2 linked regions of the Diceros bicornis minor genome follow. The protein of the gene in region 2 interacts with the protein of the main gene of each other region in a biochemical or structural test. Links are inferred from orthologs where the notes say so. Each region holds a gene or a part of one and is shown on either strand. Other genes may lie near its edges.

What was found. The genes of interacting proteins can lie anywhere in the genome.
Region 1: the proteins of MAP3K11 (region 2) and MAPK8IP1 form a complex in vitro, tested with the Homo sapiens proteins (2 studies listed by BioGRID). The link is inferred for Diceros bicornis minor from reciprocal best matches to the Homo sapiens genes MAP3K11 and MAPK8IP1.

Annotation. Positions count from the first base shown.
Region 1 is NC_080770.1:24,293,291-24,303,128, forward strand, and holds the start of MAPK8IP1 (C-Jun-amino-terminal kinase-interacting protein 1), read right to left. Parts: upstream 4,146-9,838; 5' UTR 4,088-4,145; coding exon 3,987-4,087; intron 3,979-3,986; exon of another isoform or gene 3,640-3,978; intron 3,258-3,639; exon of another isoform or gene 1,034-3,257; intron 1-1,033. UniProt on the Homo sapiens protein: The JNK-interacting protein (JIP) group of scaffold proteins selectively mediates JNK signaling by aggregating specific components of the MAPK cascade to form a functional JNK signaling module. Required for JNK activation in response to excitotoxic stress.
Region 2 is NC_080770.1:7,592,718-7,602,803, reverse strand, and holds the start of MAP3K11 (mitogen-activated protein kinase kinase kinase 11), read right to left. Parts: upstream 4,640-10,086; 5' UTR 4,318-4,639; exon of another isoform or gene 4,222-4,317; intron 4,162-4,221; exon of another isoform or gene 3,534-4,161; 5' UTR 2,975-3,533; coding exon 2,236-2,974; intron 1-2,235. Other genes in the region: PCNX3 (pecanex-like protein 3), read left to right, coding at 5,160-5,312, 5,685-5,872, 6,105-6,204, 6,322-6,361, 6,466-6,561, 6,785-7,912, 8,415-8,538, 8,621-8,799 and 2 more. UniProt on the Homo sapiens protein: Activates the JUN N-terminal pathway. Required for serum-stimulated cell proliferation and for mitogen and cytokine activation of MAPK14 (p38), MAPK3 (ERK) and MAPK8 (JNK1) through phosphorylation and activation of MAP2K4/MKK4 and MAP2K7/MKK7.

The DNA of each region.
Region 1 (9,838 bases), about 17 Mb from region 2:
ACAGGGCACCCCATCCCCAGGGGGCATAGCGTCAGCCTGGACTCCTGTCTCTCCCCTATCTACCCCTTGCACCAGCTCCCTCACCAAGTGGGCTAACCAACCTCTAAATCTTCCTCACATCCTCCCCACCCCTCCTTCTCGCCAGCGGGATGGCCGGTCTCCCAGTGGTCTCCCTGCCTCCCCGTCCACTCTCTACCCAGCAGCCAGAGTGATCATCCCAAGATGGCATCCAAGGCTGTCGTTCCCTGCCTCCTAAACCCTTGCTGGTTCCCACTGCTTGTTCGTGGACAGGCCAGTGTCTCAACACGGCCTACGGGTTCCTGCCTGCCCGCCCTCCACTTGCCCCAGACCATGCTGCTTCACTTCTTCTCAAGCTGAGATGAACCCTTCCTGAGGCACAGGGCCTGGCTTCCCCCGGCCCCTCACCTGGGTCACCATCACACCTACCAGCCTGTCTTGTACGGCCTTGTCTGTCTGTCTCCCTCCTACACTGTCACCTGCATCATGGCCAGGCCCATGTCTGTGCCTCTGGAGTGTCTCTCTGTTGAGCCTGGCAAAGTGCATATATTTGTTGAGTGAATAAAGGAACAGCCAAGCGCGTACGACCTCATGAAGAGATGAATAAGGAGGTCCCTGCGCTCTTCAGTGACCTCATCTCTCATCCCTGAGGCGGTGTGGTAGGGTGCAGAGAACTCCATCCAGGGAGTTATGAGGCCCGGGTTCTGTCCCAGCTCTGCCACTGACTTGCTGTGTGTTCTCAGGGAAGCCACTCACTCTCTCTTGTCTTCTCCTAAGTAAAAGGGGAGGGGAGTAGTTTGGATGAGCTGATTTCTAAGGTCTCTCTCATCCCCAACTCCTCTTCCACACAGCCAGGGCAGGCTGCTCGCTTTACTTTCTGCGAGCATCCTTTGTCCCTCCCCCATGGACTGTCCCACTGTCCCTCCCTGTCGTCCCCCGTCCCAGCTCAATGTATTCATTGCATAAGTTTCTAAATCTCTTTTCTAGAGTTTTCCTTATAATGAACATGTATCACTTTAGTTTGGAATTTTCTTTTATTATTTTGTAAGTTACAGAATTAACCTATGCTTGTTATAGAAATAAGAAGTCAAATAATACAGAAGTATGTAAAACAAGTGAAAATCCCTCCCCTCATACCATATTCGGAGGGAACTACTAGTCACTGGTTGGCGCATTTCTATAATCAGAAACAAACACATATTTATTCAAACCAACTACCAACAGACGAACGCTCGACACCCCTCCAGCTCCACGCCTGGGTCACCCCTCCACAAAGTCTCCCCCAGTGTGCCAGGGCTCCCTCCTTTCAGCGTGGCTCTGAAATCAGATTGCCTGCGTTCCAACCCCAGCTCTGCCACTTCCCTAACCTCTTTATGCCTCAGTTTCTTCATCTGTAGAGTGGGGATAGTAATAACACTCTGTTTGTACGGTTCTGGTGAGGACTAAATGCTCTTGCACAGAAAGCACCGAGAGTGGTGCCTGGGGAAGAGACGGTCCCGAGGGCCAGTGCTTCCCACTGTTCTTCCCTGAGAGCAGGCCCTGCTACTCTCTGTACTCCAGGACACCAGCATCCGGGTTCCTCCCTCATTAAATAAGAAACCGCTAAGGCATTACCGAGCACCTACTCTGTGCCAGCCATTGGGCAAACCAAAGTTTAGGTGTTGACTTCTTATGCCTTTTGGAAGCTGACAGTGGTGCTGAGGGTACCCACACAATAATAACAACAATATTAAAAAAACAGCCCTGTATGAATGCAGCTTTCCACAGCCCTTGAAACACTCAACATGTGCCCTCTCATCCGAGTCTTAGGACTACCCTGAGCAGGTGCTAAAGCCGGCATCACGGAGAAGAAATAGGCTCAGAAGGTCAAGTGCCCAGTCTTGGTACATGGCTAAGAAGGCCGAGCCAGGACTCAAACCCAGCTGAGTCAGATCCACGACCCCACCAAAGAGCCACGAGAGAGCAGTAACCACCCTGGGTTAAACCAAGTTGGGCCCAGGGAAAGGGCAGCGGGGGCTGCCAGGGCAGGCGGGGTAGGTCACGTGGGGCTGGAGACACGGCCCTGATTATTCCCACAAGCTGGCCTTGTCCACGGCCAGGCCACGGTGTCCTGGAGGGCCGGCCCACACCACAGCCTTGGCGTACTGCCACCTGCGCCCACCAGGCCCAGGGCCAGATACACTCACTGGCTGGCATCTGCCACGTCAGCTCCTCTTGCTGACGTGTCCATGGTGACCTGACAGCCAGGGGCAGGGCTGGATGGAGTGCTCTGTCCTCTGTCACGTGGGGATGGGGGGGCAGGGTGGGCAAAGCTGCCCTCTGGGCCAGAAGCAGGGCCTGGAGGTAGAGTGGACTGAACACACACAGACTTGGGTTCCAGTCCAGCCTCAGGCTCTGACATCCTCGGGTTCCTCAGGCAAGTCCCCTGCTTTCTGAATCTCAGTCTCCTCATCTATAAAATGGGCAGACCGATACCCAGCCCAGGGTGGTTGTGAGAGTTAAATGAGCCAGCTCTGGGAAAACGCTTTGAATGGTAATGAGCTATATAAATGCCGGCTAACACGGGGGCTGACCCTGGTGGAGCACCGACTTGATATACATTAAGGAATCAATATTAATTAGCTTACCTAACAGATGGAACTCAGAGAGGACAAAATCACCCAGGTCATGCAACTAGAAAGTGGTGGAGCCAGGATTTGAACCCAGGTCCCTCTGAGCTCCATGCTTTTCCACTGCAGAGGGGCCTCCTGGTAGGAAGGCAGTGTGTATCATGTCAGGTGGAGTCAGTCTCAGACGTCAGCCTGGTACTCTGAGGCACTAACCACAAAGACCCCAGCCCTCCAGCCTTCAGGCTTGGCCTCCTCCATCTGGTCCCCTCCTTCTGGTCTTCCCGGCTCAGCTCAGAGCCTCGGGGAGATTTCTAGTCCTGATGATGCCATTAGAGATCCCCAGGGGCCCCTGCCCACCTGAGGGCCAGGGAGCCAGCAACCCCCTGGTCAGAAGAGGGGTAGGCGCCAGGGCCCAGCTGGGGCCTGGCTGGGGTGGGGGCCCCAGGAGAGGGGAAGGCGCCAGCTCATTAGATGGAGAGACAATGCGGTTCGTCTAGGCCTCCTTCTCCTAGGTACTGTAGCAGCTACACCCTCCTCTTCCTCCTCTCCAACTGGGGCCAGGATTATGGGGGAAGGACCTTCCCCCACAACATCCATTGTCCACTGCTCTGAAATCCACTTCCCAACGACCTAATATCAGAAAGGTTCAAGGAGGGGGGTAAAGGGGGAGCTCAGATCAGGGTCCTGGGTACTTACCCCAGCAGGGACCTGGCCCCCATGTTCCTCGCTACTCCGGGGCCATCCAAACCAGACTCCCCCTCCCACAGGGGGGCCTAGGATCTCCGGGTTGAGGCTGAGCCTTCCGCACCTGCACACACCTGACCAGGTCAGCGCTTGCCCAAATCCACAGAGGCTCCTGGGAGTTAGGCCCCTCTGGCCAGGCAGGGCTGGGGGAAGGGCCCACGACTCCCTTCTTCCAGCACCAAGAAACTGGGACCCGCGGGGCACCCCAGCCTGCTTCCATCTCTATTCAGAAGCCTTCGGACTGGCCACAGGCAAAGCCCCAGCCTACCTGCCTCCTCGGAGATCTCACTCCAGACCCCACCAGGCCCCGCCGCCGCCCCCAAGTGGGAAAGACGGCGGCCTCCGCGCCCCCTCCTCCAATTCCACCTCAGAATCTTCTAGCCTAGCACATGGAATGGCGGAGGGAGCTGCACCAGGGATACGCGGCGGCGATCAGTCTGGACTGGAGGCTGAGGGGGATTCTGGGGCCTCTGTCCGGGGAAGAGACCCCATCCCCACGCCGCCCTCCGGTTCCCGAGGTCTGGGGTGTGGGTGTCGGGGCCGGGGGGAGGGGAGCCGGGGCAGATCAGTCGGGGCCAAAGGGCGGGGCGCGGCGCGGCGGCCGGGGATTCTCACCTGAAATTGGGCGGCGACGCGATGTGCAGCCCCAGGAACGGGGAGGCGGCAGGCGGGGACGCGGCCCCCCCGCCCAGGCCGCCGCTCTCTCGCTCCGCCATTCTCCGGCACAGCCCTGGCCATCCGGGCGGAGCGCGGCGCGGAGGCGGCGGCGACGGCGGCGGCGGCGGGGAAGGAGGCGGGGTCGCGGCGAGAGGCCGCCGCCGCCGCGGGGCTCGGGCTGGGGCGGGCGCGGCAGGCGCACCTGCGCAGGGCAGGGCGCGGCTCGACCGCGCGCCGCTCTCGGCTCCGGCGCGAGCGCCTCCGCGCGCCCCGGGGCCCCGCCGTCTCTGCGCCCCGCCCCCGGCCCGCCCCCGGCCCGCGGGCCCCGCCCCGCCGGCGCTCTCCGAGGTGCTGAAGTCGCGGCTCCCGGGTTTGGCCCCGCCCCGCCCTCAGTCCCACACTGCTCCTCTGCCTCGTTTCCCCCTCCCGCAAAGCACTCCCCTCGGCCCCTCAGGGTGGGCCTAGAGCTTGGGTATCAGGTAACTACTGGCAGGATCCGGGTCCCCAGGGCCCTAGTTGGCCCCCCGCAGCAGACAAAGGTGGCACACAGGAAAGGAGGGTCATGGAGGAAGCCGAGAGTGTGTCAGGACAGGTCCTAGAGCAGACAGGTTTGGAGTCAGGTGGTGTGAAGTCACAGCCTGGCTCCCCAAGTGCATAGGTGGTGTGGCCTTGCACTAATGACTTAATAGTCCTGAGGTTGGTTTTCTCATCCGTGAAATGGGGACAATAATGGTCCCTCTCACATTTGTTGTGAGAATGAAACGTAAAATGTGTTGTCATCGGAGGCTGGGACACCCCACTTCCCTCTGGGATCCAGGTCTCACTCCATCTTGTCCCCTTACCTCGATGGGACCCTTCCAAGGACTCTCCCCTAGAGGGTCTCTTCTCTAAAGACTGAGCCAAGCCCCCCTTCAGCCTCAAACAGCTACTAATGGTGAACTGAGCCCCTCTTGGCTTGTCTCTCAGCTTCTCCCTCATGTAGGGACTTTCCCAGATTACTCCTTCTTCTCACTTAGCACCTCAGTTGCATTTCCTGAAAAGCACCCCTCTTTTGCACCCACAGACACCCCATAGCTGGCTTCTTACATTCTAAGACTTGGGACCTTTCCTCCTGCCCCCACAGTTGACTTCTTGGGATTCTTTGTGTGTGCGTGTGTGTGTGAGGAAGATCAGCCCTGAGCTAACATCCATGCTAATCCTCCTCTTTTTGCTGAGGAAGACCGGCTCTGAGCTAACATCTATTGCCAATCCTCTTCCTCTTTTTCCCCAAAGCCCCAGTAGATAGTTGTATGTCATAGCTGCACATCCCTCTAGTTGCTGTATGTGGCACACCACCTCAGCATGGCCGGAGAAGCGGTGCGTGGGTGCACACCCGGGATCCGAACCCAGGCCACCAGCAGCGGAGCGCGCGCACTTAACCGCTAAGCCACAGGGCTGGCCCCAGACTTCTTGGGATTCTTTTGGTGGTTTTTCTGTTTCCTCCAGCACCTCTGCCCGTGCTAGGTGTGGGCCATGGTTTCCTCTTGATCTTCTCTCCCCTCAGAGGGTTCAGCTTGTGAGTTTTTCAGAGTGTGGACTGCTAGACATTCAGGCTGTTGGCCAAGGCCAGGGCCCCAGCTTTGGTGGCTCCTAGAGTCTCTGGCCAAACCTCACTGGCTTCTCTGGCCACCTGACAGAACCGCAGAGGCCCTGTCCTTCACCTCTCTCTCTGAAGAAGGGGCAGAGTAAACAGTTTCACAGCTTGTAGAATCCTATTTGCAAATCTCAACTGCCAACTGGTCACGCCAGCCCCCTTTTCTTTCAATGTAGCACCCAGGGAGCAGCTGCAGGCACCTGTCCTGCAGTAAACAGCCCCCCAGCTCCAGCCCTGAGAACAGCCCAGTACCTAGAGCCAAAGGCCTTGGCCGCCTCTCTTCTTTCTGCCCCTGGGCCCAGACGGGTGGCCATTTTATCTTTCCTGCTGTCTTGGCTCAGGCTCCCTTCACTAGGCCCAAACAGTAGCCATCTGCTGCTATGGTGCCTGGCTTTTCCTCCCAGGAAAGCAGTTTTGTCACAGTGGCTAATCACTGTTCCTTAGAATGTGTGCTTGTCTCAACTAGGGAGCATCCTCAGGAGCTCAGGAGTGTGTGTGTAGGACAACTCTATCTTCCAGAACCTTTTGCTCAAGAACAAAGGTGTCTTAGCTCCCACAGCCAAGCCAAAATCACATTAGAGAGAAGCCAGGAGAAGGGAGAGGGAAGGTTAGGCCCAGGTCTTGGTGGAAAGGGGGCCAGCAGAAGCTTCAAAGCAGGGTGAAAAAGGAGATGAGTCCCAGGCTCGAGTTCCTCTTCCCTTTCTCACTCTGTGCAGGGCAGCCTGTGATATTCTTGGGTCTTACCTGAGCCCCTTCCCACAGGAAGCTGGGGTGTGGGCTAACAAAGCTCTCACTCCCAGTGGTCCAAGGCTAGAAACCCCTACAGGAAAGCCCATGCACACTGCAGAGGGGCCACTCTCTGGCCAGATGGCATGAGAGAAAGCCAGCATCCAGGACCTCGGCTTGGCTATGGGCAGGTCTCGACCACCTACCAGAGCCAGAGGGCTTGTACTCCCTCCACTCACACACACACAGCTGCAGCTTACCTGGCTGAGCTGAGGCAAGGATGGATTGAGGGCCTGGAGAGCCCTGCCACTGATCCCCAGCCTGGGGGGTCTAAGTGGGCGGAGAGGCCGGGTCAGCACAGGACAGCCATCAGGAACCCCACCCTGGGCCAGGGTGCTGTGTACCACTTTGGCTGATGGACCCCCACTCTGACCAAGCTCTGGAGCTGCCTCTGGTCTGCTGCAGTTGCTCATGTAGGAGCCTCCCATTTCATCTCCCCCCTTCCCCCTCCTCGCCACCTCCAAGGAAGGGTGAGAGGCTCCTGGGTCCAGCAGAACCCAGGTGTCCTAGCCTAAGGCTTACTGTGGCTCAGCCTTACTGACTCCCAGTCCCCAGCCCTCCCACAAGACTGACGACAGCACAGCTTTGCTCAGACAGGGTGAGACATTTATGAAACAAGTGACTATTCAAACAAACTGTGGGAGAAACACACCTTCCCAGCAATAGAAAATCTCTGTATAAAGTGCATTTTGCCTGCGACCATCTCTTCCCCATGCTGGCCCTTGGGTCGGGATCTGGGGCAATGCTTTGTGGCAGCCCTTAGGGATACCTGGGCCAGGAGAGGGGAGGCACCAAGCCATTGTGGAGGTCCAGGCCACTGGATGTACTCTCTCCTCACACGGCCCCTCCCAGCTCTGGGAGCAGATTTTTCCATTCCACGGGGAATGGACCAGCATGCCAGGGGTGGTGCACAAGTAGGGGGAGGTGGTCCTGCCAACTTGTACCTTAGGGAAGAGAGCCATCATCGGATAGGCAGGAAAAGGGAATCATCCTGATATTTGAAGGTACTGTTAATAAATACTGACTCTGGCCCTAAGCTCTCTGCCCTTCTGTTTCTCAAACCAGGCCTTCCAGGCTCGCTCTACTCTTCTGGCAACAGCCCCCGATTCTCTTTCCTCCTGCCTGGGGCTAAGGGAACAGGGCAGCCCCCAACCCAAGGCTGCAAATACACATCATCACCCGTGCCCTGCTCCCCCGACACGATCACGGGACGTTCCTAGTGAGGGTGACATACATACAACAGTTGGACTCTAAAGGCAGCTCTCTGGCTGAGAAAACCTGAGGACATCTCAGGAAGAAGCCTGTCAGTGTGCTGGACAGATGCAGGAGACAGGGGCCTGACCCCAGGTTCTGGTCCGAGGACAGAGGACAGTGAGGGACAGGGCTGGGGCCCAGGCAGTTAACAGCTGTGAGGCTAGGAAAGGCCACAGGGGAGGTAGAGAAGAGAAGGCCCAGAGGCCAGCTTAATGTTACACGTGAGGACAAAATCCAAAGAGGAATTAGCCTCTCGGCTAGGTGCGCACCTGTACGTACACACACACACACACACACACACACACACACACACACACACACGCGCACACACACACGCATGCGCACACACACACACACACTTGTGGCTCAAGTGCAGGCCATAACATGGAAGGAAGACTTGCTGCAGCTGACCCCACAGTCCTCTCTTCATTACACCTTTCTCAACACAGGCCTCCAACAGTGGAAGGGCTGAGGCGGGAGGCACAGGCCACTCCTGGAATGCAAAGCCTTGGCTTCTCTGGGTGAAACCTCCCACCTGCTGCTTCTGGAAGGGTTGGCGCGCTGGGTGGGATCTCTACTTGGACCTTTCCCAACTGTCCCTGGCAGTCCCCACCCGCATCCACCTGCCTGGGGACTTGGTGTCCAGCTACTGGGAGAGCTGATGTGGCAGCTTGGATGCTGACCAGTTCCAGGCAGGCCCTGGAAGCCTACAGAACAGACTAGAATGGCTTCCCTGGCTGGGAGTCAGCTGACCTCAACGGCAGCACTACGGTGCCCTGGAGTGTGGCCAGAGGAGCCAGGGGTCTTTCTACCACCAGGAACCTGGCCTCCTCCTGGAGGACGCACCGAGTCCCCACAGTCAGCTCAGAGGCTAGCCCTCAGCTTCTGGGGAAGGAACAGTGAGAGCTGGGATTCTATTTCCAAACTCAGGTTTTCAGCCCCAAAATGGTAGATGTATTTCTTGGGCTACCATCTATAGTACCGTGCATACGGCACACCGGTCAGGTGTCTGGTGTACTTCTGTATGATGGTGGAAAGTTTCAGATCTGTCTACAGCCTCGTGCTCAGTCCCAGATGCCCGAGGAAGGGTCTGGAGGACCCAGTGGCGGGGAATTTTAAAATAAGAAAGAAGCCAGGCCAGGTGGCTATGTCTGAACAGCATCAGTCCACTCCAGCCTCCAGGGTCAGAAGCAGGAACTCAGCACGACTCCGGCTGCCTCTAGAATCCCACACTCTGGACAAGAGCCAGAAATGTTGTCCTCCTGCTCCCCAGTCCGATGTGAAGAGGGAGCGAGTGCTGGGGGGCAGATGCCAGAATCCCAGCTAGAGTCCTACCGCTCTTCTATTCAGACAGGGCAGCTGGCTGGCAGCGACAGGTCTGGGCTGAAAGTCACTGCCATGACCTCTAGCCTGGTGTCTGGAGGCTGAGGTGAAGCTGCTACAGGGACTCCTCCGGCCCGGGCAGCGTTCAGAGTCACAAGAGTGTAAACGGATGCATGCACACGCAAACAGGCACAGCACTCCCTCCTCTGCACACGCGCACACACGCACACAGGTTCGCTCCATCTCTGTCGTGATGGCGATCAGCTTTTCTGCAGGTTGCACTCTGCTGCCACGGCGGCTGCTCGGGCACCCAGGCTTTGCTCGTGGAGCCACGGCGCTGCTGCTGAAAGAGACAAGCGAGTACAACAAGGAACGTTCAGGAGGCTACTCAGGTGCCCAGGGACACAAGCTCCTCTGGCTGCTTCTCTGGGGACACTCAGACTGGGAACTGGGAAGAGCCAGTACTGTGCACGGGCCACAGTACCCGGGGACAGGCTGGTTGCCAGGACGCCACCGGGTGCCTGCACACTGCCCCTCTGAGGTGCTGCCGCAGGACAAGCTCTCCCCCGCAGACCCTCTAGGCCTCCCCTGCCGCAGGGCCGGGGGCAGCAGAGGAGGAGGGGCAGGCCATGGGAGACTCACTTGAGGCCTTGGGTGACACTCGCTCAGATATGACAAGGGCAGTTTCCGAACCAAGGCCCAGCGGCTGCTGCCGGAGATGGAGAATGAGAAAAAAAACGGCTGGAACAGAAGCCAGCCGGGACCAGTAATTTTGAAGAAGAAGGCAGTGACTGAGTAGAGAATCAGCAGGTGA
Region 2 (10,086 bases):
TGCCAATCTCCCCCTTTCAGTCGGGTAATCTGAGGCCCAGGGAGGAGCAGCAACTCACCCCAAGCCTCAGGACTGGTGGCCTTTCTGCCACCTCCTGTCCCCAGCTCGATCTGACACCTGTGAAACCTCATCCTCACATCCACGTCCCCCCTTGTTTTTCCAAGTGCCTCGAATTTGTCCCAACCCAAGATGCTCTTCTGGTGTCTGATGCAGACTTTGGGATCGGGGAGGTGAGGGGCCACCCAGAGGAGATGGGGCTAGAGATCCCCAGGCTCCAAGCTCCCCCTTAGGGCTCCCTGGCCTGTGAAAGGGACCAGGTCCCCCATCCCCCTCCCCTGGCTGGCTTCTGCAGGGCCTGGGAGTGGCTTAGGCTACTCACACCTCTTCCGCTTCCCTGCCATGGTCCCTACTTCTCCTTTCTGGGAGGCCTGGGCCAGGTCTCCAACTGGGGGGGGGGCCTTTGGGGGGAGAATTGAGGGAGGTCAGGCCCAGGCCGGGCTGGCTGGTCAGTCCTGTGACTCGTGGGCCTGGAGAATTCCCCCTCCTCTCCCCACCAGGCTTCCTCACAAGGCCCCCATTGTCCAGGAAAATCACGCCATTGTTTCCTGCCTGCGCCCCCCCAGCCCAGGGACTCCCCCCACCAATCCCGCAGACGGCACCCGGGGCCTAGGACTGGGGTCTGCGAGGTGGGAGGCCAGGCTTAGGGGGGCTGAGGGCACCTTGCCTGCCCTTCACCACCAGCCAGACTCTGGGAGGGAAGCAGGGGAACTGGGGGGAGTGGGGGTGCAATCCCTGGCTCCTTCCTCTCCTACAAACCCCCCACCCCCAGCTCTTTCCTCCCCTGCAGGCAGCTGGGCTGGGGAGGGAGCAGAGGCTGGAGCAGGGGCAGGAAGCCGGCTCAGGGGCAGCAGGAAACGCAGGAAGCAGTGGGGAGGGTGGGGAGCAGGGCCCTGGGCTATTGTTCCATTTTCTCTGGAAAGAAAACTAGAGGAAAAACAGAAGACGGAGTCCCCTCCCCCCTGGGCCTTCGGGGAATCCCCCTCAGGCTGGGGCAGGGAGTGGGGGTCCCTAGACGGCTAGGGCCCAGGAGTGAGGCTGAGGCTGGAAACTGTCCCTTACTGTGGGTGAGAGGAGTGAGTGGGTGGCTGGCAGGCCTCCCTCGGCCCCTCCAGCCCTAACATTGATGTGGATGGCATTGGGTCCTGGTGTTCTGCTCCCCCCAGCCCCTTGTCCACAGATAGCCCAGGCTAGGAGGCTCAAAATATCCATGCTCACCCCTCCAAGAGCCACCCATGCCTCTCCTATAACCCCACTGGCCCCTCTTGCACTTACTTTTGCTCTATCGCCTGCACCCTGGGCCCCAGCAGGCCCAGCCCGTGTCCCCACTGCTGTGCTGGGGCCTGCCTCCTCGCCTTCGCCCTTGTCAGGCCCTGCCAACAACTGGGGGCCTCTCTGAACACTGCCTGCTTTTGGCCTGGTACGAAGCTTGCCTGCTACAGGAAGCCCTCTGAACCTGTCCCTCGCTTGTCTCGGGCCCATGCTGGGCAGCTGCACGGCCTGAAATGGCGGGAGATGGAGTGCCTGGCTGCTCCAGTCTCCTTCAGCCCCGCCACGCCCACCCCAAGTGCTGATGCCAGGTGAGGCCCTTTTGGTGATCCAGCCCTCAGATGTCCACACCCATAGCTGAAGACCCACTGCGTGCCAGGCATCGGATGCCAGGGCTTGCCTAGTCCATTAAGCCACTTCACCCTCCCAGTCACTCCCTTTTCACAGTCTGAAATTGAGGCTCTCAGTTGAAATAACCAGCTAGAGGTCATGCACCCAGGGGAGGGGTGGGGCCAGAATTCTAGCCCTGGCCCCAGCTTTGACCACCACGGGGGGCTGTCCCCTCTGAGACGTCTGTTCCAGAGAAGCTGCCCACCACAGGTGGAGGGGAGAGCAGGGCACCAACAGCACAAGTGTGAACGGCAGGGGAGGGGAGATGAAGAATGCCAGCACCCAGCGTTCTACTTCCTTGAGGTGGTGGCCATGGCAAGGCAGGATGCTTATGGCCCCTCTGAGAGATCCCAACTTTCTAACTTGGCAGCTGTAAGCTGAGGTCAAGGACTCCTCCTGGGGCTGGGGCACAAAGGACCCTCACAAAGGCAAGAGCTCAGCTCAGGTGGGCTCAGCTGAGTTGGCAGTAGGTGTGTGCCTGGGCCATACCACCCTCCAACCACACTCCCCAAAACTCACTGTTGTTGGACTTGAGGTCTCGGTGGATGACAGGCACCAGGGCCTCGCAGTGCAGGTAGTGCATCCCACGGGCAATTTGCACGGCCCAGTTGACCAGCACGTGGGGGGGCACACGCCGCCCTGCCAGGGCACGGCTGAGGGGCCCACCGGCCGCGTACTCCATCACCAGGCACAGGTTGGGCTCCTCCAAGCACACGGCCTTGAGGGCGATGATGTTGGGGTGTGCCAGCATGGCGAAAAGCCGGGCCTCCTGGCGCACACTCTCAGCTGTCACACTGATGTCCTCATCGGGGTCCTGACGAGCTGCCTTCACAGCCACCAGCTCACCTCGCCAGCTGCCGCGGTAGACCTTGCCGAAGCCACCGATGCCGATCACCTCCTCCAGGCGCAGCTCCTGGAAGCTGGCCACCTCGCAGGGGGGCGGGCCGCCGCCCCGAGACACATAGTTGGATGGAAAGATGCCCACCTGGCCGCCCACCTGGCCCGCCCACCAGCCCTCATCGCCTGAGATAGCTGCATCCCGGGATAGCACCTCCACACGGTCGCCTTTCCGCAGGGCCAGCTCGTCCTGCCCACTGGGCTCATAGTCGAACAGGGCTGTCCACACAGGGTTGGCATAAGCCGCTGCCTTTGGGGACCCCTCCGGCCAGCCTCCACCGCCACCCCCACCACCCCCACTGCCACTGCTGTTCCATGACCCCAGCGGGCTCTTGAGGAAGAGGTTCTTCAAGGGCTCCATGGCTGGGAGCCGGCGTTGGGGCGTGTGGGGGACCTTCCCTGGGTGTCCCTGGTCCCCACCCCTGCTGGCTGCCAAGGCCCTAGTCCCGGAACCTGGGCATCCGGGCCCTGGCCCTCAGCCCCAGACCCACGCCTCTCTGGGGAACCAGGAGTGTCGCTTCCTGGCCCCCCGCATCTCGCGCTTCTAGGGGAGAGCGACCCAGGGCAGTGTAGTCAGGCTCCCGGGGTAGGACCCGGGGGCCTCCGGCGTCTCACCATGGCCGGCTCGGAGGGACCCGGGCGTCCCTCAGTTCTGGAGCAGTCCTGGGAGCCTGTCTCCTGCACCCACCAAATGTAAGCTGCAGCCAGCGAGGGGCAGCGCCTGGACTCCGCTTGGGTCTTTTTGCGCAGGAGGTGGCTGGAGTGTTCCTAGTTGGGCCGAGCTGCCTCTTCCCGGCCGGCTCCCGCAGCCCAACGGCTCCAACCCAGTTCCCTTCTTCCTCCTCCCTTTGTACTTTGGCCCCGGGGGCGGGAGGCAGAGGTGGAGGGTGGAGTTTCACTTTTTTCCGCTCTTCTCCCTCCTGCAGGAAACAGCATCAGATGACGCGGGCGGGTCGCACCGCTCCCCTCCCAGAGGCTGCAGGCAGCTGGGCCGGGGAGTTCCCGGGTAGGCAGGCGTAGAGGGGCAGAACGAGGGGAAGGGTAGGCCCGACGCCCCATCACGGCAGGTTTAGGGTCAAGGTTGGTCTCTGCTAAGGACGGGCCATCCCCGCCCTCTACATCCGCATCAGCAAAATGGGGTCAAGAACCTGGTTTGGGAGTGGGGCAAACTTGAGTCTGCTCTTGGCTACGAAGTTGCAGGACTGTGTGCCCCATCCTCTCTGCGCCTCATGCTCTTCATATCTGAAATACGGACCAGAAGCTCCGCTTTGCACAGCTAGTGGGATGGGGGAAGGGCAGATGCGAGGAGGAAGAAACTGGCTGCACCTCAAGCTCTTGGAAGGGGTTGTCTAAGGCTCTCCTCACTTGGGAAACAATCCACTTCTTCATGACCCTTCCCCAGTGGGCAGAAACCTGAGACTGTTGTCCCGAAATCTGCCCAGTGATTGGATTCAGAATAGCTAAGTCGCCCTCACAACCGCTGGTTTAGCCCCAAGCGCCTTGAGCCTGTCACTTTAAGAAAAACGACGCTATCCTATTTCGACTATTCCTGCCTGTTCTGGAGGGTCTCTCCCCCCCGCCCGCCCCACTCTAGGTCGGAGTTCTGACCCGGAAGTAGAGGCCCCTCGGGCCGAGAGACGCTCATGACGTTTGAGGTCCAGCACAAGAGGGGTGTGCTTCCAGAGCGCAGAACTCTCGCCGTACCCTGGGGAGTCCACGCCTCCATCCTTTTCCCCGCCTCCTGTAAATCACCAGGAGAGCTTTACGCCAACTAACGCCGCCGTTAACCAATGGCCACCCAACTATCCCTTCGGTTTCGCCCAGTGGTCTCTGCTAGGTTGGCTCGGCTTAGGTGTGCGCATGCGCCCAAGGCCTTCCACCTTTGCATCGTCTTTCCCCTCAGACCTAGACTTTGCGCACGCACACCCGGCTCCGCCGTTTTTTATGGCTCCACCACCTCCCTGCGCTTGCGCATTCATGCCGTCCGGTTTTCCTTTTCCGGGTCCCAACTGGGCCCGTCGTGCGCATGCGCCATTGCAGGCTGGCGGCTCGCGGCTCCTTCCGGCCTCCCCCTCGGGCCGGCTCCCGCAGAAGCGGGGCGAACGCGGAGCCCGAAGCAAGTGACCTGTGACCCCGGAAGTGGACCTCAGGGTCTCCGGGCTCTCCTGGGGCCGGAGCCGTCGCCTGCACCCCAGGAGCACCCGCCCCACGCCCACCTCTGGATGCCGCCGACTGGTGCCCGGCCCGTGCCCCGCGCCTGCCTGCCGGCTCGGCCCCTCGGAGCAGTTCTGGGCCGGCGGTGGGGGCCCAGACCCCGCCCCTGATGCGGCTCCACCCCCGCAGCCGAGCCTCGCACGGTTGACCGTCTCGGCTAGCCCCGCCCCCTGCCCGCACCTTCCCCGGGCGACCCCTCTCCCCCGCTGGGGGAGGCCATGGCGTGAGCGCGAGGCCGGGCCCCGGGGCCCTCGGGCGCCAGGCGGGGCATGGGCCGGGGGCCGCCCCCATGAGGGTCCCGGGAGGGGGGCGCGCGCAGCAGCGGCGGGGCCATGGGGTCGCAGGTATTGCAGATCCTGCGCCAGGGGGTGTGGGCCTCTCTCACCGGCGGTTGGTTTTTCGACCCGCACCAGAGCACCTTCTCCAACTGCTTCCATCTCTATGTCTGGATCTTCCTGCTCACCTTTCCCTTCTTGCTGTACATGGTGAGATGCTGCCGCCACCTGTAAATCCCGCCTGGGAAAGGGAGGGCAGATGTCACAGCGGGTTGACTACCTGGTACGGATTTGGGGCTGTGCTTTGGGCGCTGGCGTGTGGAGAGAGGAATCTGCAGAGTTTGGAGTGTGTGGAGGAGAGGCCAAATGCATCCCTTCTTGGGCTGGGTGACCTTGAGCCCCTCACTTAATCTCTCTCTCCAGTCGGAAGATAGAGATCCGTAACAGGATTTTTGTACTGGTGCCAAGGAGGGATGATGAAATTTTCTTGTGAATTTGTGAATCCTAGCCATAACTGGTGGTAGGTCCAGCCCATGGGGGTAGGGCTGTGTGAGGAAGGACCTGACTTGCTGTCACCTCCAGGTCCTGCCCCCCAGTTTGATGGTGGCCGGCGTGTACTGCCTTGTGGTGGCTGTCATCTTTGCTACCATCAAGACTGTGAACTATCGGCTGCACGCTATGTTCGACCAGGGCGAAATTGTGGAGAAGCGCAACTCTACCATGGGAGAGCCGGAGGAAGAGCCCGCCCAGGGGGACAGCAGTCTGCCCAGGTGGGTGGGGCAGTGGCTGTTTGGGAATTGAGGGGTCTTGGTGTCTGGGCCTGAGCATTGGAGGATGGAGGAGGGGCTTAGGGAACCTTGGCTCTTTGAGCTATCGAGCACTACGTGTGTAAGGGGACTTTTAAGGGCACCATTGAGAAGGGAGGAATGATGGGGATGGGGGAGGAAGTACCGTATAAAGAGGGGAGGTTAGCTCAAAGTTCATGCTTTTCTCCACTGCTAGGGACCCTGGAGTGGAGATGACAGTGTTTCGGAAAGTGAGTTCCACACCCCCAGTGCGCTGTAGCTCCCAGCATTCTGTGTTTGGCTTCAACCAGGTTTCGGTGAGTGGTCCCAGCCCTCAGCCTCTCGCACTCTTGGGAGCTCGTCCCCACTGTGGGTGTGTCCTGAGCCTACTCTTTGCCCTGTTTGCTCCTTCACGGCTCTCTCTGCCTGCTCAGGAGTTGCTGCCCCGAATGGAGGACTCTGGACTCCTCAGAGGTAGGTGGTTGCTGCTCAGAGCTCAAGGTGGTGGTGGTATGGAAGAGGGGATGGCGTGCGGATGCCTCGAGGTCCTGCTGACGGCTCTGGGGCCGTGGTTGCAGACATCAAGGAGCTGGTGCGGGAGCAGGGCAGCAACAATGTGATCGTGACTTCAGCCGACCGAGAGATGCTGAAGTTAAGTTCACAGGAGAAACTGAGTGAGTGCGATATGGCAGGGGCTTTGGGGGAAGACTAGCCATCTTGTCTCTGTCACCCCAGGTTTTGCTCCCTGGGGCCTCTCTGTGTCCTCCTGGATGGGGCCGCCTCAGTGTCCTGTCCCACCTGGGCTCTTGGAAAGGAGAGGCCGTGGGAACCGCTTAGCCACCCGTTCCTTTTGTAGCATGCCTTTTTGTCATTTGCTGTCTTTTTTCTTTTTGATAGTTGGAGACCTTCCCCAGACGCCCCCGGGAGCTGCCCCAGACCCCTCTCTCCCCAGCACGGACTCTTCAGAACGTTCTCCCCTGGCTGGAGATGGAGCCCCCTGGAGTGGGAGCAGTGTGGCTGACACTCCCATGAGCCCCCTGCTGAAGGGGAGCCTCAGCCAGGAGCTGAGCAAGAGCTTTCTGACCCTGACCCGGCCTGACCGGGCCCTGGTGAGGACCAGCAGTCGACGGGAACAACGCCGGGGAGCAGGCGGCTACCAGCCCCTGGACCGGCGGGGCTCGGGGGAGCCCATGCCCCAGAAAGCTGGCTCCTCAGATTCCTGCTTCAGTGGCACTGACAGGGAGACGCTGAGCAGCTTCAAGAGTGAGAAGACCAACTCGACCCACCTGGACAGCCCCCCCGGTGGGCAGGCGCCTGAGGGCAGTGACACAGACCCACCTTCTGAGGCTGAGCTGCCCGCCTCACCAGATGCTGGAGTCCCCTCAGATGACACGCTGCGTTCCTTTGACACAGTCATAGGAGCAGGGACACCTCCGGGCCTGGCTGAGCCACTCCTGGTCGTGCGGCCCAAGGACTTGGCCCTGCTGCGGCCTGGCAAACGGCGGCCGCCCATGCGAAGACACTCCCCACCTGGCCGTGCCCCTCGGCGGCCCCTGCTTGAAGGTGGGGGTTTCTTTGAGGATGAAGACACCAGCGAGGGCAGTGAACTGAGCCCGGCCTCCAGTCTCCGATCTCAGCGCCGCTATAGTACTGACAGCTCCTCTTCTACTTCCTGCTACTCCCCCGAGAGCTCCCGGGGTGCAGCAGGGGGAGCCCGGAAGCGACGGGCCCCCCACGGGGCTGAGGAGGGGACTGCTGTGCCCCCAAAGCGGCCCTATGGGACCCAGCGGACGCCTAGTACTGCCAGCGCCAAAACGCATGCCCGTGTGCTGAGCATGGATGGGGCAGCGGGTGATGTTCTGAGGGCCCCCCTGGCTGGCTCCAAGGCTGAGCTGGAGGCCCAGGCAGGGGTGGAGCTGGCTGCTGGTGAGCCTGCTCTGCTGCCCGCTGAGGCCCGGAGGGGACCTGCTGCCAACCAGCCCGGCTGGCGGGGGGAGCTGCAGGAGGAAGGTGCTGTGGGGGGAGGTGAGTGCCAGCTCCAGGGCTGGGGTGAGGAGGCGAGCCAGATAGGGGCTTGGGTTTGGGTGAGGGACAGGCTGGAGTGCATCTGGTCACCGTCAGCTCAGCCTCTGTGTCGGAGAACAGACAGTTGTAGATGCAGCGATTGAGTGGCATCTGCCAAACCTCTCAGATAAGCAGGGCTCCAACGATGGGGAGACCGAGGCAGAAAGACCTCAGACACCTGGCTCCAGGTCCTGCAGTTAGTGCGAAGTCTCTGCCCTTTGAGGACTACCTGCATCCACATTCATTTTTCTGGGCCACCACTGGGGTGGGGGAGGTCACGTCCTCATTTCCAAATGTGGAAACTGAGGCACAAGTAGTTAGGTGACCCGGCTGGACCCTAGAGGCAGGGCACAGTTGGACTATGGGCAGGCCTGGCCTTTGGCTCCATGTAGGAGCATTTGCTCCCCGCTCTCAGGGTGTATTTAAGCCTCTGTCACTCATGATTGGGGGTCTCTCTGGGCAGCGGCTGAGGAGACTGGCAAACGGGAGTGCTTGAGCGGTGTGAGGCGGACCCAGGCCATCCGGAGGCGCCACAATGCAGGCAGCAACCCCACCCCTCCAGCCTCCGTCATGGGCTCGCCACCCAGGTGAGCACCTGCTGGCTAGAGAGGCACGGTGGGGGCCGGCTGGCTCTTAGCAGTGCTGACCCATAGGCTGACCCCTCCCCAGCAGCCTGCAGGAGGCTCAGCGCGGCCGGGCTGCCTCCCACTCCCGCGCGCTGACGCTGCCTTCTGCCCTGCACTTCGCCTCCTCGCTGCTGCTCACCCGGGCCGGCGCCAACGTCCACGAGGCCTGCACCTTTGATGACACCTCTGAGGGCGCCGTGCACTACTTCTACGATGAGAGTGGTGAGCCCCTGCCAAGCCTCTGACCCTGGCTGGCCCAGCGCCCCCTTTCTCTTCCGCTGAGGGTCTTTGTCATCTCAGCGGCAGTGCTCGCTCTGTTGAGTGCATACTTCAGCCCCGTGGTGAGGTGTGAGTAGCCTCATCATTGCTGCTCTGCTGTTGAGGAAACTGAGGCACAGGCTGAGCGAGTGGTAGAATGGGGATCCAAACCCAGGATGGGCAGAGTGCAGGGCCCGGCCCTTAACCTACGGACCCACTCCTCTCCAGCTCTTGGTCCCCAGGGGCTGGGCTGCCATTCAGGGGGACACAGCACAGGGTTTTTCCTCATTCGATGGCCTTGGGTTGGGCCCTGGTGCTCCTGTTGCTCATGTGCTGTCTTGTGTCCCACACCCCTGCCCAAGGCGTGCGGCGTTCCTACACCTTTGGCCTGGCTGGAGGCGGCTACGAGAACCCTGTAGGGCAGCAGGGGGAACAGGCAGCCAATGGAGCCTGGTGAGTCTCCCAAAAGAGGCTCTCCCAGGCCAGCAGCCTGGTGGACTGCCATTTCTGAGGATTGTCTCTTTCCTTCGCTGGGCTGGGGCAGGGGCAGCTCAGAATCTCTAGGAGTAGAGGAGGGTGGGGAGCAGTGAAGGGCGGGCCTGTAGGGATCCCTTGATGCTGTCAGGACACAATATTTCAAGCAGAAGGCTTCCAGGGCCCTCTAGGAAGCCCAGGACCTGGGAGGAGGGCACTTCTGCCGCCTGCCTATTCTGCACCCCCCTGTGCTGCTTCTGGTGTATCTGAGTCCCCTGGAGCCCCCAGTCATGGCCGTGCCTCGGGCTCAACCCCACCCCATTCCAGGGCACACCAGTGGTCCCCACCCTCATGGCTGTCGTTCCCACAGGGACCGCCACTCGCATTCCTCCAGCTTCCACTCGGCTGATGTCCCTGAGGCGGCGGGTGGCCTCAACCTGCTGCAGCCGAGGCCTGTGGTTCTGCAGGGCATGCAGGTGCGCCGAGTGCCCCTGGAGATCCCAGAGGTGAGGAGCCAGAGGCTGGGGAAGGACCTGCAGGAGGGGGGCAGTGGTGGGGAGCAGATCACTGAGCACTTGCCCAGGTACCGGGATTGACAGGCCTCTCTGAGTGAGGGCTCTCGGGCCCCTAAGGTGCCTGTCCTGACCTTTGATGGCTCGCACAGGGTGTGCAGGCTGTGGATCTGAGTGGCTCAAGAGGTCCCTTATTTGCTTATGTAACTAACATGTTTGGAGTATCTTTTTTATTTTGGGGGGCCACAGTTAGTGAGATGATGGA